Drosophila melanogaster: one gene and its partners. The gene in region 2 interacts genetically with the main gene of each other region. Each region holds a gene or a part of one and is shown on either strand. Other genes may lie near its edges.

Region 1 (4,645 bases), on a different chromosome or scaffold from region 2:
GATAAAAGACCTGGACAATCTACACACATTGAATTTTTCTCAGATTTAATTTGCTAGTAGCTCCACACGGCTATATCAAGGTTAATACTATAAATTCGGCTGGAGTTAATAAATTTTCCGGACGCCAAACAGTGACAGTTACCCCGGCTACGTAGTCCTGAATCCCCCGGCCGCCTTTTGGGAATCGGCCTGGTCCCTCCGGAACTCCATGTCCTGTTGCTGTTCAATGGGGTGGTTTTCGGTTTGTTCGATTGTCCCCCCGACGACTGTCGCTTGGACTTCCCCTTTTCGACGGATTGAGGAGTTGGAAAATTTTTTATTTAAATTTATTTATAGTCAATAAGGTGGGCAGGCCATGCTCTTAAGAGCTTGCTTAACTATTTTAACATAAATATATAATAAATAAATAATACATTTTAAATTATTTAAAAAATTTCCACTCATAAATATATGCTTATATTTTATTTGTGTAAAGTACCTATAATGCCAAATGGTGAGGGATTTACCCATCCCAGTCCTTGTAGAATTCTCTCACGTCTCAAAAGAATAATTCGTCCACTTCATCCAAGTTTTCCCCACACATGTATAACCGAAACAGAGGAACACGCATAATAATAATAAATATTGATAGAACTAAAGTATAAACAGCGACGGGCAGCTTCAAGGGAAATACGGCAGAAAGTAACAACAACTCGGGGTCTCCGAGGTGTCACAGCTACCTGTACTCGCACCTGGGATCTCGAGGTTGCAAGGGCGCTGGGTTCACAGAATGTAGAGACAAGTTCAAGATTTATGTGCCTACCGAGTAAAACAAAAGAAGAGCAGCATGTGTCCCACAGAGAAGCCTCGTCAGTCCAAGCAGTCAGCCCCACCAGTGGCCATATATGCCGTCATCAAGGTGTTCTGGTGACAGCCCACACACTGGCCATAATTGCACCGATCTGCTGCCAAGTTTGAGCAGAACCTGACTTCCAGTTGCGAGCGCACAGCTGTGGCCGAAAGCATGACGTTGGCCTGGAGGCGCTCCAAAGACACTTGGATACCACCTGGATACTTGGAAACTTAGTCTAGAGTGCTTCGAATCAAAGCATTTTTATAAATTTTAATCACAAACAAACATTAAAGAATATGGCAAAAAATATTTAAATTTAAAAAAACCTTAGCTAGGGAATATAGGGTTTTTTGTTGAGGTTTCCAGCCCAATGTTTCTCTATGTGCACACTTGCGATATGGGATGACCGCCGCCCGACCCTCTAATTATGCCGCACTCATTAGAAAGACAATCTGGACCCGCAGCCGTAGGTGTATTAAAGGGAGCCAGCGGAGCGTGGCCGCCAGTCCCGCCGGTCATCAAGTGCAGCTCAGCTGGACGACGTGTTGCTGCTGTAAAACTGGCAGCGACACCGCGGCCACCGCCAATTGAGGCGATACTATACTATGCCTTAGTGAAGAGATCGTCGGAAGAGCGCACATAGACTTGCCAATTGCTCCGAAAATCCCAGAGCGCCGCCACTCCGAATCTTGGCAAGACCGGTTGTCGGCCATCGTCTTGGCGTTTTCGTCGGAGTGCGAGTGGCTCGGTTTCGGGCCCAGTCAGTCTTGGCCAGGTCGGTGTGCGAGACACATCCACAGCGCTCAACGAACCTCTATCCCATCGATCCCATCGCTTCGATTTCGATTGCTATTCCGATTCGTTTCGATCCCGAATCGTGCGTGAGTTTTTCGAGTGGCGTAGCTCTGCGGTTATGGCTCCGTTTACCCGGTTCTAATTGGATCGTGCGTGTGGATTTGAAACGGCTTTCCGTGGCTCCAAGAGACGTTCATGGGTTTCCGAGATTTGAAATAGTTGCGGTTGTTGCTGTTGTGCCTGTGATGTTTCTGTCGTGATTTTCTCTGATTGTTGTTGCCCTTGGGAAGCGATTAAGCTCGACGGGTGGTTGAACCGGGCCAGTAAATACGTGCTGAATGATTTGTGAATCTTTTGAATATTTCGCGTTGTTTTCTGGGGAAGTGCAAAAGTGTCGGGAAGTTTGTTGCCTCAGTCTTTTGTGTTGAGACGGCGTAATAGCAGCAGCAGCAGCAGCAACAACAACAGCTCGGATTATTTGCCACAATTCGCACAAAGAGCAGCTCTTAGCGTCTCTTTACCACTCTTGGCCAACTCTTAAATGTGCAATTCCCGCAGCGTTAACATGTAAAACGAGTGTTGGCCACAAAACGAAATAATTATAGAGGAAGCCCGCAAAAAAAAAAAAAAACACTTAGGAAGTACATAAAAACAAAATCAAACTAATGTGAAACCAAAATTCGTGAAAATATCTAAAATCATCATCGTTCCGGGCAACCAGTTTAAGGCACAGCGAAATCGCAACAACGGACACATAACAAATTGGATTACGCAAAAAGGGCGAAGTTGGCTAGAGGTGAGTGTTGCGGAGTTGCTGTTTGAAAAGCCATAATCGAATAACCAGAAACCCGAAACCCGCAAAAAGAAACAGTTAAAATCAGGCAGAAAATCAAAGCTGTGCCGTTTGCAAAAACAAACCCAAAACAGCCTTAAAAGATGACTTCATAAATCGCCGACGCTGTGGATGTGCCAAAAATCCATCAGCCAAACCGGTTGGCTTCACTTCGCCTCGCTCGAAATTCGGAATTCACGGAATACCAATACTTGTACTCGGGGGAACAAATTGAAGAAGCGTTGCAATCTGTTTTCTGTGCAAATGAAATGGGCCTTATCTGAAAAGCGGCCTGAGAAGCCATCTGTCCGGGGATCTGAACCTGTTTGCCAAGGTTGCCAGTGGCCGATGTTGGCTGCCAAGTTCGCAGCCAGTTGCATCATCTGGGGACACAAATATGGCCGCGATGGGGTTGGCCATCGGCAATTGGCTATTTGAGTAGCCACATCACGGACATCCGTCTTCCATCCGCTTTTCCTGCCTTCTTTCCCGTTTTTCAATGCCCATTTCTGGATGCGCACCGCATAAGTAATGTGTCATCGGGCTCTTGGAATCAAAGGTCCATTCACATTTACCCCCACTCCGTGTGCGGCCATTATAAGCCAGAATCTGTTGCTAATTGGCTGACCCAACATTACCCACATGAGCTGAGACCGGGTTCTTCTCCTTGTGGAACTTTTAGCACTTCCACGGATCACACAGCCATAATTATGTTCGTTCCATTGTGTTCGGGTTGGCGTCTAAAGAAGCAATTAGAAATGTTGATTGATGGAGAGATGAACCCCGAACCCATCCCGATCCGACACTTGCATCATCTTTGGACTATGGGAATGTGATGCACGGCCTTTCCCTTTTCGGTGATGCATGGCCTATTAATTGGTTAATTTGTGGTTTGTTAGCCATCAAAATATTGTAGTTGGCCAATGTAATGGTCTTCATCTGCGTTGAATACAACGCCTTGACTAGTGAATAATGGCTCATCCGCCAAAGGCGTTTATCTCCAACTTCTGTTGGATATTTCCAAGTTCTCCGGCATTCTCGGAAAGCTTTGCGTCGAGGAACGCCAACGCAAGCGTAAAATTTGTATAATTAAAAGGCGAATCTGCGCCCGAGCTGCTCGAATACCAGTTTCTGAGCCATCGTGTAGTTAACTTGTTTATATAACAGCCAGACAACAACTCGCAGTGACCTTGAAGCGGGCACAAAATAAGGTAAAGACGGAAAATATGATTGTACGTATAATTTCGTATTATTTTGCTGCCTGGCGATGTGTGTGCTCAGCTAAGTGAGAGAAGTGAAGACATATGACGGATTTTTGGGGGTTTATGAACTAAGCCGAGAAATGCGTGTGGGCTTGATTGCCAAAAGCTGTGTGATTGATTTATAATCTCCCGCGGAAGAACTAACAAAGAAAGCGCCAAAAATGGTGAGGTCATTCAACCAGGCCAAGACCTTTTCAGCGTTAGATTTCCGCCTGCTCGTTGGTATTGATTTACAGTTGAAACGAAAGACTTAGGCAACGAACTTCGCGACTGCATTACTCATACGACACGTTGGCGCTCAGCACTAATTATGCAAAAACCCAAATGCTAGCGAAAGGCGTGCCCCAAACCCAGCCGTGAGTCACAAGCTTCGCTTGCCCCCCGTTAAACGGACACTCTGCATTGGGTTGCTTGTTTGTTTTCGGCCAAAATGAAAAGTCGTCTGGCTAGTTGATCCCCCACTCTCCAGCCTCCTCCACCACCACTGGCGAATTAAACCAACATTGGCAAACTCAAGCGGACTTAAATGCAGGCTTTTACCTTAGATCAACCCCACGCAAAACCCCGCGACTGCAGTCGACCGACCACGAGGTTGTTCAATTCATTCCAAACACTTTCAAATCCAAGCCTTAAAAGGGGAGTGGCAGGCCAAGACTTTTGAACTGCGGACTGTGCTCGAAGGAAGTGGGCACAGAACTGTGGCCAATACTTGGTGTGTTAAGTTCTCAGACACTAAGATATAAGATAAATAAATTATTGTAATATAGTAGCGATCGTCTATGATATCAATGTCTAAGTTTAGCATTTATGACACTACAAGTGATTTATCTCAGTGAAGTTCTACGCTCATTAACTTCAAGTACGAGACTATTTATGGTTTAGAGGAAATCCTCCTCAAAAGTTAGTTACTTAAGTACTGAGCCG
Region 2 (4,874 bases):
AACAATTCAAAACGTATCTGGGCATTTATATATTTAAAAACTGCGTTTATTTATGAGGTTTATATAAAGAAACAGTTTAAGAATAGAAAAATGTAATAAACTTCTGTTACCATGCCGACCATTTGGCACTCATTTAACCACTGTGCCTCTAAAATCAAGGACTCTCGATGGCTGAGCTAAATTTTTTGCACATTTGCGGGTTTCTTGCGCACAATGGTCAAAGGGGCGCGAATCAAACGGGGGCCTTGACTTTTGCACTTTTGGCGAATTTTTTTTACAGCAGGACATACAGCAAATCGGACGGAGGATAAAACAAGAACCAAAAAGAAAGATACAAGGCACAAATACCGAAAGACAAGTAACTCACCACGACGGGGGGTGTCGCCGGAGGTGAAGGTGGATAAACAGGAATTTCTGCCTGTTCTGTTTTGATTTTTCGCTATCTCTCTCTTTCGCTCAGCTGCTTCTGCTTCTTCGGTTTGTTTATGTGTAATCCTTTTGTTTCTTTCGATTTTGGCGCGCAATTTTCCTTTTTTTTATTGCTATTGTTTTAGTTGTTGCTAATTACTAATTTGCAATGCAATTTTTCAAAACACGCGAAGCCGTTTTGTTGTGGCCGTTGTTATTGTTGCGTTGGCCGTGTGATTGCGGTTATAGTTGTCGTTGCGTTGTTGTTGGTTGTTGCTAGTTGCTGTTGTTGCTTTTGCAACTTTTTCACAATTTGCATTTCACGTATTTTTGCAGCAGCTTCGACGACTTTGACTTTGTTGCACAAACACAGGCGGAAAAACGGCCACACACTAACGAACTGAAAACAACAAAACAATCCGAGGAAGCTGCTGGCGTCTCTTTTCCTTCGATTTTTTCCCAAGATTGCCAATCCGATTTTACTGCCTGATTTAGTGTACTTTCGCGAATCTATAGTTATTTCCGCAGCCAGTCATTCAAAAACGAAAATGTAAACGAAACAGTGGGTTTACATTAATATATCATCACATAAATATGGGTTTTTTTGAATCCCAAAAGCATCTCGTGTTACTTAGCGCGACAAATCGGTTTCCGACGTATACTCGTTCGCTGAGATGTTATTCCACAGTGGTATTTAATTTGTTTTTACTCTTCATGCGAGGAAAGCACCGTACGCGCACGCTGCTCAAAACGGAATGAAAACAAGAGCTGTCGCATCGTTTCAGCCGAAAAATACCGAAGCATGCTGAAACTTCGAAAAATACCGCAAGCGAGAAACGATGTTTTTTCATCTATGGCAAGTCGACGTCTATTACCCTTTCGATTAATAGAAATAAAATATTGCATATTTATTGAAGTAACGAAGTTTGTTGCATCCCAGAGTTTTGTTAAGGCATAAATAAAGTTCCATAAGCAATTTAAAGACTATTTAATTAAATTGATTTCTAATTGGCATATGAACGAACATTTATTGGTCGTCCAGTTTAGAGTACATATTTATGTACAAATCGAAGTAAATTTTTTATAATATTAACGCACGGTTTATCAATGGCACAAACCATCAGCGATTCCCAAGCCATCCATTTTTAGCTATGTTATAGCTATAGAAAAAGCAATCACAAGCAAAATTAAAGATAATAAACAATATTAAATTTAAATGGCCTGAGAACAGTGGAATGCATTTTTATGACAGGCTTTCGAACTCCGTACATAAAGTACATTTACCGTACCGACCCAACAAAGAAGTGGCGCCGATAAGCACAATATTTAAAAACCGATAGGCACACGTTATTTGACTTTTTGTCTGCAAAAGCTTTCTCGTTTTAAGGAGCTTTGATTTTGGCATCACCTGCAACAAAAGCGGTTTTCAGTTTAGTTAGCCTCTTTCTCACAAACAAGTCGGTTGTTTTTGCGCTGTTGGAGGAGTGAAATTCTTAGCCGCGCTATTGTTTTTGTTGTTTGCGTGGCGTTGTGTTTATAACAATAACAACAAGTGATTATCACTGGAAGACATGTTCTGTTCAAGTAGCTAAGCATATGGCTGGCTAAGAAAAAAAACACAAGGGTTATAACCCTTTTTTGGCCGAAATACGAGACTGTCCTCCGGGGTTACTTCATTCGGTCTGTTATTTTGGCCACCTCCCAGTTCCTTCAAAATGGTTCGGTGGAGCGCGCGGTCGCGGCGCCAAGCTCGCCAGGATAAAGTGGAGCTATTGGCCAGAAACAACAAAGTGAATGGCGAGGACGATACCTCCGATAACGGTACGTGCCAGGGGTGTCCTCAAAAGGAGAATTTTAAGCGAAGTTCATACGAAATTCCAAACTATCATTTTATTGTTGTTTCTTTTTCCTTTAAGGCTCTGTTAATAAAGTTTTAATTTTGAAGATTTCAGTTGTTTAAATAGTTAAAAGATTTACAAACTAAATATTTCAATTCATATTCAAAAAGTGAAACGAGACAAGAGTTATGTTGCATTTCAGTAAGCCTGCTTGAAGTAAATATAATGATTTGTACTCATAGCTAAGAATAATCTGAAACCTGTTTGAAGATATGCGGTCTTTAAATGTATTTACAATAAATCGATAACAAAGAATATGATTATAAAACGAAAAATCAGATGCATGTATATCTAAATATTTCCCTCTAGAATTCCATCATTGTATGAATTGTATGAATTGAAAAGGGTAGCATTAAGCTGCCAAAACGAATGTCATTTCATCTGTTTCCGATTGTCATTTAACGACTGCGATTAATCTAAAACACTTTCGCTCCGTTTTAGCCGCCTTTCGCAACTCGACTGACCTATCCGACCACGATGAGATCTTCCTCAAGGGATTGCTGCGTAGTAACTCCAACACGCCCCACAAGGAACTGATGGCAAGTAGACCAGAACATATAAACGTAAAAAGGCGAGAGAAAATATCTCTGTACAATTTCTGACCCACTTAAACGCCTTCGAGCATCTGCTCAATAAGAAAATTGCGCATACGGTTTTCCACCCATTTTCCATACCCAGCCACACACACGCACACACTTTCCACATTTGTGTTTACTTCATCGATGGCATTGCATGCTGATTTTTCGGTCTAGATAGAATTTTCCGGGCTGCTTGTATGTGCGTGTGTTTGCTTTTCTTATTACATCATTTTCCTTGCCTCCACAAGCGCCAAAAAGAAAAGAAAATCCTTCTGTATTTTAAAAGATTTTCTCGCTTTAGCCATGCACTGCAATTGTTTTTTTTTTTTTTTTTGACTTCGTAATGGCCCATTAGCACTTGCTATTTTATTTTTGCCTTCCTCTTTTGAGTTTTCGCACTAAACTTGACCTCTATTGCCTCGGCAGATGAGTTGCCTTTATGCAGATGGGAGGCATTTTATTAGATCATCGTGACATAACCATTGAAGTGGAAATTATCTTGACCCGACACATTTAGCGCCTCCTCGAAGGTTTCTTACGGTAAAAGAACTGCCAAAAAGTTTGTAGCCTAATCAAATTGTAAATATTATTTGCTGTTCCTGCGGCAAACACGCAGGTCAACTAGAAAAACAATGAGAGGCAGTTACAACCAAAATTAAAACGAATTTGTTGTGCTCTGTATACAAGAAAAATAACAAAATATTTTAATTAATTTTTAAAAATTAATTTTCAAAATTGAAGATGCCCTTTCTAAGATGTAAAGTTATTCTGTTGGCGAATAATAAAGAAGTGGGGAATTAAATAGTATGTAAAAAATAGGCGTAAAACAATGATTATTAAGACCCAAACTAGCAGTACGGAAAAGCCAAATACAACAAATATTATGGAAAGCGACATCGTGTGACGACGACCATAATTAGAATCCAACATTTTCCGAGGCATTTTCCTGGGCAGGCTCATTCGTTTGTGGTTTTCTGCTGTGGTCGGCGGCTGTTGAGAAAGGCAGTGAAAGTAATTAAGCCACGAGTCACGAGATAAGAAAATATGAAATGTCACTACCAGCTCCCCTGTTTTCCTTTCCCCAACTCGCCTGTCGTCACCGCTCCTTGGAACACTCCCCCATTTTATGCAGATTACATAAAACTCGACGCAAGTCGCCGTGCCAACTCTTTGACATCAACGCCCCAAAGAAGTTGTGTGTATTTGAGTGTGAATAAGGAAACCGGTTTGGAAACATTTTCCAACGTAAACACTACGCTTTTTATGCTACCTGCGCTCGAAAACGATGCACAAAAAGCGCCCAGCTCGTTGGCCTACTAATGCAGCTGTGGTCGGGAGATCGAAAAAGCTTGCTATAAGATGCTGTTAAGATCACTGAAGTAGTTGGTAAAAACATTGCAAAGCATGTTATAGCCAAACTTACTTATTTAAGGTTCTGTTTTACTGAACAAAGTATAAAGCTAGTTAAATAAATATGTTTCAGCAACATTTGAATTATAATATTTGGAAAGCTAAGATCAGATTATTTAATTTCAGTATAACATTTAACAGAACATTTTAATGTTGGTTATTGTTATATTTTAGATATACCCCAAGTATGTACATATTTGTATTTTAAAAAGTTTTCTACAGTTTCAAATGGTTTTCATTAACAGAAAGAGAGGGCGCGTCACTGCTGGTTTTAAGTCACTGTTAAGTACAAGCTAACATGTGGATAACAGACTGCGTACAGTTGTAACTTGGCTCACGCGGAGCTTTTTTCACGGCAAGCCAGCGGCAAGCGAACTGAGCAGCAAACAAAGCTAGCCCTAACTTGCTCACTAGCTCTCGCCGCTTGCTTCCATAGCTCGTGAGTCAGTTAGTTGCGAACAGTGCTAAGGTGAGGTTCACATTCCGGTTTGAAACGCGCGCTTCGTTGGTTTCGGCCCATTCGAATGAGTGAGCATTGGTGCCTGACTGTAGTATAGGTGTTTTCACGGTGGTGTTTGTG
Region 3 (4,833 bases), about 12 Mb from region 2:
AAATCAGGACAATATCTCTAAATAATATGGGTTTAGTTACTTGCAAATGCAGAACACTTTTTAAACGGAGTATATCTTCTTTTTGCAGGAGATGCCACTGATGCGAGAACAGGATCGACCGAGAAGCGAATCACCTTCACCCTGGCTCCCAGTTCGGCCGAATGCTCGCCGTCGGGTAGCCAAACGACACTTACTCCCAAAAAGTTCGAGGCCATTGCCGAGGAGGAGAAGGAGGACGACAAGGCCGATGAGGAGGAGGAGATCATGGAGGAGGTGGTGCTGCGACCTCGCCTCATCGACCGGCATCCTCATCTGCTGGCCAACCCCAGTGGACTGACGACCACGCCCAAACGGATCCTGCGATCCGCCAAGAGCGTTCCGCACATGAATGTCCGTTCGTCGGCCAGTGAGACGGATATATTCTCCATTAGCGGTACGATGACCGGAAGCAGTCAGATCAGCATGACGCCGGAGGTGCCATCGATATCGTTCAGTAATCTGCCTAAGAACTACGAGGACACGCCCACTATTGAGAAGTACCGGGTATCGCAGAGTCTCTATTCCATTCAAACGGCGAATGCTGCTCGGGCCACACAGGATGATTACTCCATGCCGCGCTACTTCCGTCGATCTGCCATGCTATTGACCCAGAGCTCTGAGGTGCTGCCCGGCGCCAGTTCACTGGCCTCCATGTCGCCATCGATGGCCTCGTCCTCTGCCTCGCCCGGGTCCTCCAAGGACGAACTGCGACGGCCAGAGAAGGAGAAGAGCAAACGACTCCAGATGCTGCGTGGCAATCTACCGCCCTTACTTATTCATTCCGTGTCCTTCAAACGAAATCGCGACGAGGGCAAGCAGGTTGACTAGTCGCACTGCAGATATACATATTTATTTGTTAATCACTTTGTCCATGTTTTTAATGTTTTAAATTTATTAGCCTTTAGTACCTGCTTATGCGTTTTCTGTATTATCTTCTAAGCAATGACCTTGTCCAAACAATTCCTCAGTATTCAGATGTACTTCATTTTGAATTAATGATTGATATTACAAAATAAATTGTATTTTACCACAAAAAACAGCGATTAAAGATCCTACTTAATAAATCTTTATAAAAATCTAAACGATATCTATTTGTACCATTTTAAAAGAAATAAATGCGAGCTTGAAAAAAAATGCACTTATCTCCCCGACGGGGAATTGAACCCCGGTCTCCCGCGTGACAGGCGGGGATACTAACCACTATACTATCGAGGATGTTATACAAAGTGAGTCAAACTCGGGTTTTCCGTTTGCGGAGTGTGAATGCTTGTTTCAATTTCATCTGTTCCCCATTTGTACTCTGAAGACAGTGTGCAAGCTCGAGACGGTTGTTTGACAGTGGGTAGACAACATCCTCGATAGTATAGTGGTTAGTATCCCCGCCTGTCACGCGGGAGACCGGGGTTCAATTCCCCGTCGGGGAGAGATGTAAAAATTACTTTTTGTTGATTGTTTTAATTTATTAATTTAATTTTTTAATTTTTTAATTTCAAAATTTAAGTAATGCAATACATGTTTCAGACCAACAAATTAAAATAAAAAATTGCACCATATAGCTTAAAAAAACGTCAAACATGTATATTTAATTAGGTCATCCTGGAAGTGATATATAATGAAACACATTTCAACGGGTATATAAGTTTTGTTAAGGGGTAACTGTAAGCCGGACCCATTTAGCTTACCACCCAATATGGTAGCACTGGCTGTAGAAATTCCCAATGGCAACGCTAGTCGACCAGTTTTCATTCGTATTGGCGTGTGTGTTGTTTGTACAACAAAACATTCTAGTTGTTTTATTTGCAAGGTGCTCATATAAAAACATAAACAATATATTTCGTAGAGTGCCCTAATAATTTATTAAGTTGTGAATTAAACAAATATGAATAAGAAGCGTGTCCAAGTGAATTGGTTAAATTGTAAATTATAAATAAAGCAATACATATAAACGGCCGGCAAAACAGAGAGCGCGTTTTAAGAGAGAACCTAATAGGAAAAGAGTGTAGAGCTGCCAGGTTTCAATTAGGTACCAGGTACCAAACGTATTTATTATTCGAGAAGAACTATTTTTGGTGACTAAATATGGTTTCTGATTATAGAAGTGTTCTCCTAATATATAATTTTTAAAAATTTTTTTCTACACGTGCCCTCAGATTGTTGATATTCAAAATTCGTACACAAACGCCCTTGACAGGCGCAGTCTCACCCGCGCCCACTGAGAGCGGAACGACGGAAATTTCAAACATTATTTCTATTTTCTATTTGAATTGAAACTATGTATTTTCCATAATTTTCAAAATATTCTTGATTTTTTTTGAATAACTAAATTAATTATTTTAAGTATCGCGAGGGAGAATAAGAGTTTAAAGCGGCCGATTATATTGAGGGGGAGTTTCAGTCAACGAAAAGGAAATAGTGAGAGGAGAGGGCTTATTGAAGAGAGCCTCTCATTTTAAAATTTCTCTTTAAGCGTGTTCCTTCTAAAGGACACAAGAAACTAATATGTTTATGAAATAAGAAACTTAACCGTGTATGTGTTTTCCAATTTTGCGTGAACAAATAAAAGAGCTCAAGCATTTTATCGTTTGAGTAATTTTAGATAAAAATTTATTAATATTTTTTAATGTTTTCAATTTGCCATAGACAACATTTTTTCCAATAAAATTCGGTAATATAAATAACATGGTGTTATGGCCTGCAATTTTTATATAAATTTTTAGTAGCACGCTCTTAGTTTAATATTTAGGTCAATAAAATAATTATCCTTATTGTTTTTTTTTTTAATTTGCATATTGTTTGTTGACCAGCTGTTAAGAGAAGAGAGGAGAGAGAAAAAGAGAACCGAAAAAGTGACCGTTCGCGACTTCGCAGTCAGCGCTGGAAAACGCACTAACGCGCGGAAAATGCCCTAGCGCCAGAGAAAGTGCCATTTGAGACTGAACTCTCTTTCGTGCGAGTTCCCTTTTCATTCGAAAATTTAACGCCCGCGCTGCTGCAGCGCGTTGTTGCTCCGGTTGGAAAATATCTGAAAACAGCATTAATAAATAAACAAAAATATTGGATAAATCGCCGGTAGAAACGCTGCATAAAACGAAATTTGGTTTCTTGTAAAATATTATTTTTCAAGATATTTTCTTGTTAATTTCCGGATATTCGACAAGGATATAAATGTTTCTTTCGCGTTGATAAACAAATTCCAGCACCGCTACCTTTGTGTCGCGCAATTGTGAAAAGTGATTTGTCCATTGTGTACATTAATTAATAAATTGGTAATTGCTCAATTTAGAAACATGTGCAATCGAGAGCTAGTGTGAGTGTTTGTGTGCAACAATAATAAAGCCGAAAATTGCCCAATTGCAATTGGCAATCACAACAAAATTGGAATATTATGGCACATTAGAAAAAGAAAATAACGAAAACTGTGTTTCCACCCAAAGTTTAGGCCGCAGCAGAGCGAATCCACAAAAATATACAATTTCGGCAATTTTTCCACATATTTTTCATTGATTTTTCGCCATCCTGCGGGTGTGAGCAAGAGGGCGAGAGAGTTGAAAGGAGAGCCAGGCTTTTGTATTCTGTTTTGGGTACGTTTTGGGAATGAAACGGTCCTGGCTCTCGCTAACCCACCCTCCCTCTCTCTTTGGGATTATCCTTTTTATATTTTGTTTATTTCTCTATTTTCCTGGCCACGTTTTGTGCACCATTCGTTTCGCTGCATTTCATTCTCGCGGCGTTTCAAATTGACTCAGAGAGAGTGAGAGTAAGAGTGGGAGAGAGCAGCACTCTCTTATTCTTCTTCCTCAAACTCACGCACCCCCCGCATAATGTTTTTCGACTCTGCCTTGTGCCCCCCATTCGCATCTCTCCGCAGCGCGTTGCCAACCAAAAAAAGAAAACTAAAGTACTGTTGTCATAATAAGAAATTTATCAGGAAAAAAGTTGAATTACAAAGTGTTTCAATTGATATTTCTTGATCATTTCTTCATCAAATCGTGTTTCATATCGTAGCAAATATTAATTTTAATTCAAAAAGCCCTACATGCCAGATATTTGTGTTCAAGATAAGCTCTTCCTGCGGCCATAACTTTTGATTGGGAAACTGAAATCTAATCCAGTTTTCCTTCTCCCATTTCCACAGTATTTAAGCCAGAAACAAAGTGAATAAGGCAAATTTGAATAAAGAAAAAGAATAAACCAAGAAAATATGCTCAGAAATCGCATCCGTAGCCTACTTATCGCATGAAGAACCGGTACCGTTAAGGGATAATCGCCGTCGCGTTAATTCGACTCCTGCACCGCACCGCCCCGCCCCCCCGTTCGTCGTTTCGTCTATTCATATATCCGATATAACCGTTATCGCGCCCGTGCATCTGCGTCTGCATCTGTGTGCGTGAGTCCTTGTATCCTCTGTACATATGTACAATATTTGTCGTCGTCGTCGTCGTGCATCGTTGTTGTTGTTCTTGCTGTTATCCTATTATTCATCGTCGTCCGCTGGCATTAATCTGCGTATAAAGTAAATATAACAAATTTGTGTTCTTCGGTGTTGTCTCGTGTAAGTGTCTATAATTTGTTTAAGTACGACAAGCGATCGGTGCGAATCAAAAAATTCCAATTCACCAGTCTGTGTGTGCGAATCGATAATCGAGCTATCAGAACAACCACAACAACAACAACAGCCCAATCAATCGATCAATGTCAGCAAACAAACGATAAACAGGACTCGCTGGGACTAATCAATTGCGTAATCTTCAGAATATTTTGGATTCCAACGTCTACGGAGTTTCAACTTTTGAA

Evidence for each region. Genes that interact genetically often act in the same process or in processes that back each other up.
Region 1: of vari (region 2) and pio, changing one enhances a phenotype caused by changing the other (phenotypic enhancement), as found in Drosophila melanogaster (one study listed by BioGRID).
Region 3: of vari (region 2) and Sema1a, changing one enhances a phenotype caused by changing the other (phenotypic enhancement), as found in Drosophila melanogaster (one study listed by BioGRID).

Annotation. Positions count from the first base shown.
Region 1 is NT_033778.4:24,579,656-24,584,300, forward strand, and holds the start of pio (piopio), read left to right. Parts: upstream 1-1,589; 5' UTR 1,590-1,713; exon of another isoform or gene 1,714-2,185; 5' UTR 2,186-2,423; intron 2,424-4,645.
Region 2 is NT_033779.5:20,794,008-20,798,881, reverse strand, and holds the start of vari (varicose), read left to right. Parts: upstream 1-1,839; 5' UTR 1,840-2,123; coding exon 2,124-2,229; intron 2,230-2,747; coding exon 2,748-2,845; intron 2,846-3,626; exon of another isoform or gene 3,627-3,874; intron 3,875-3,943; exon of another isoform or gene 3,944-4,076; intron 4,077-4,735; exon of another isoform or gene 4,736-4,822; intron 4,823-4,874.
Region 3 is NT_033779.5:8,540,370-8,545,202, forward strand, and holds the start of Sema1a (semaphorin 1a), read left to right. Parts: upstream 1-1,777; 5' UTR 1,778-1,843; intron 1,844-2,843; exon of another isoform or gene 2,844-3,346; intron 3,347-4,174; 5' UTR 4,175-4,833. Other genes in the region: CG17834 (uncharacterized protein), read left to right, coding at 89-867. UniProt on the Drosophila melanogaster protein: Involved in growth cone guidance through its role in axonal repulsion. Function in neurons is essential for adult survival, motor neuron survival, and is important for climbing behavior and activity.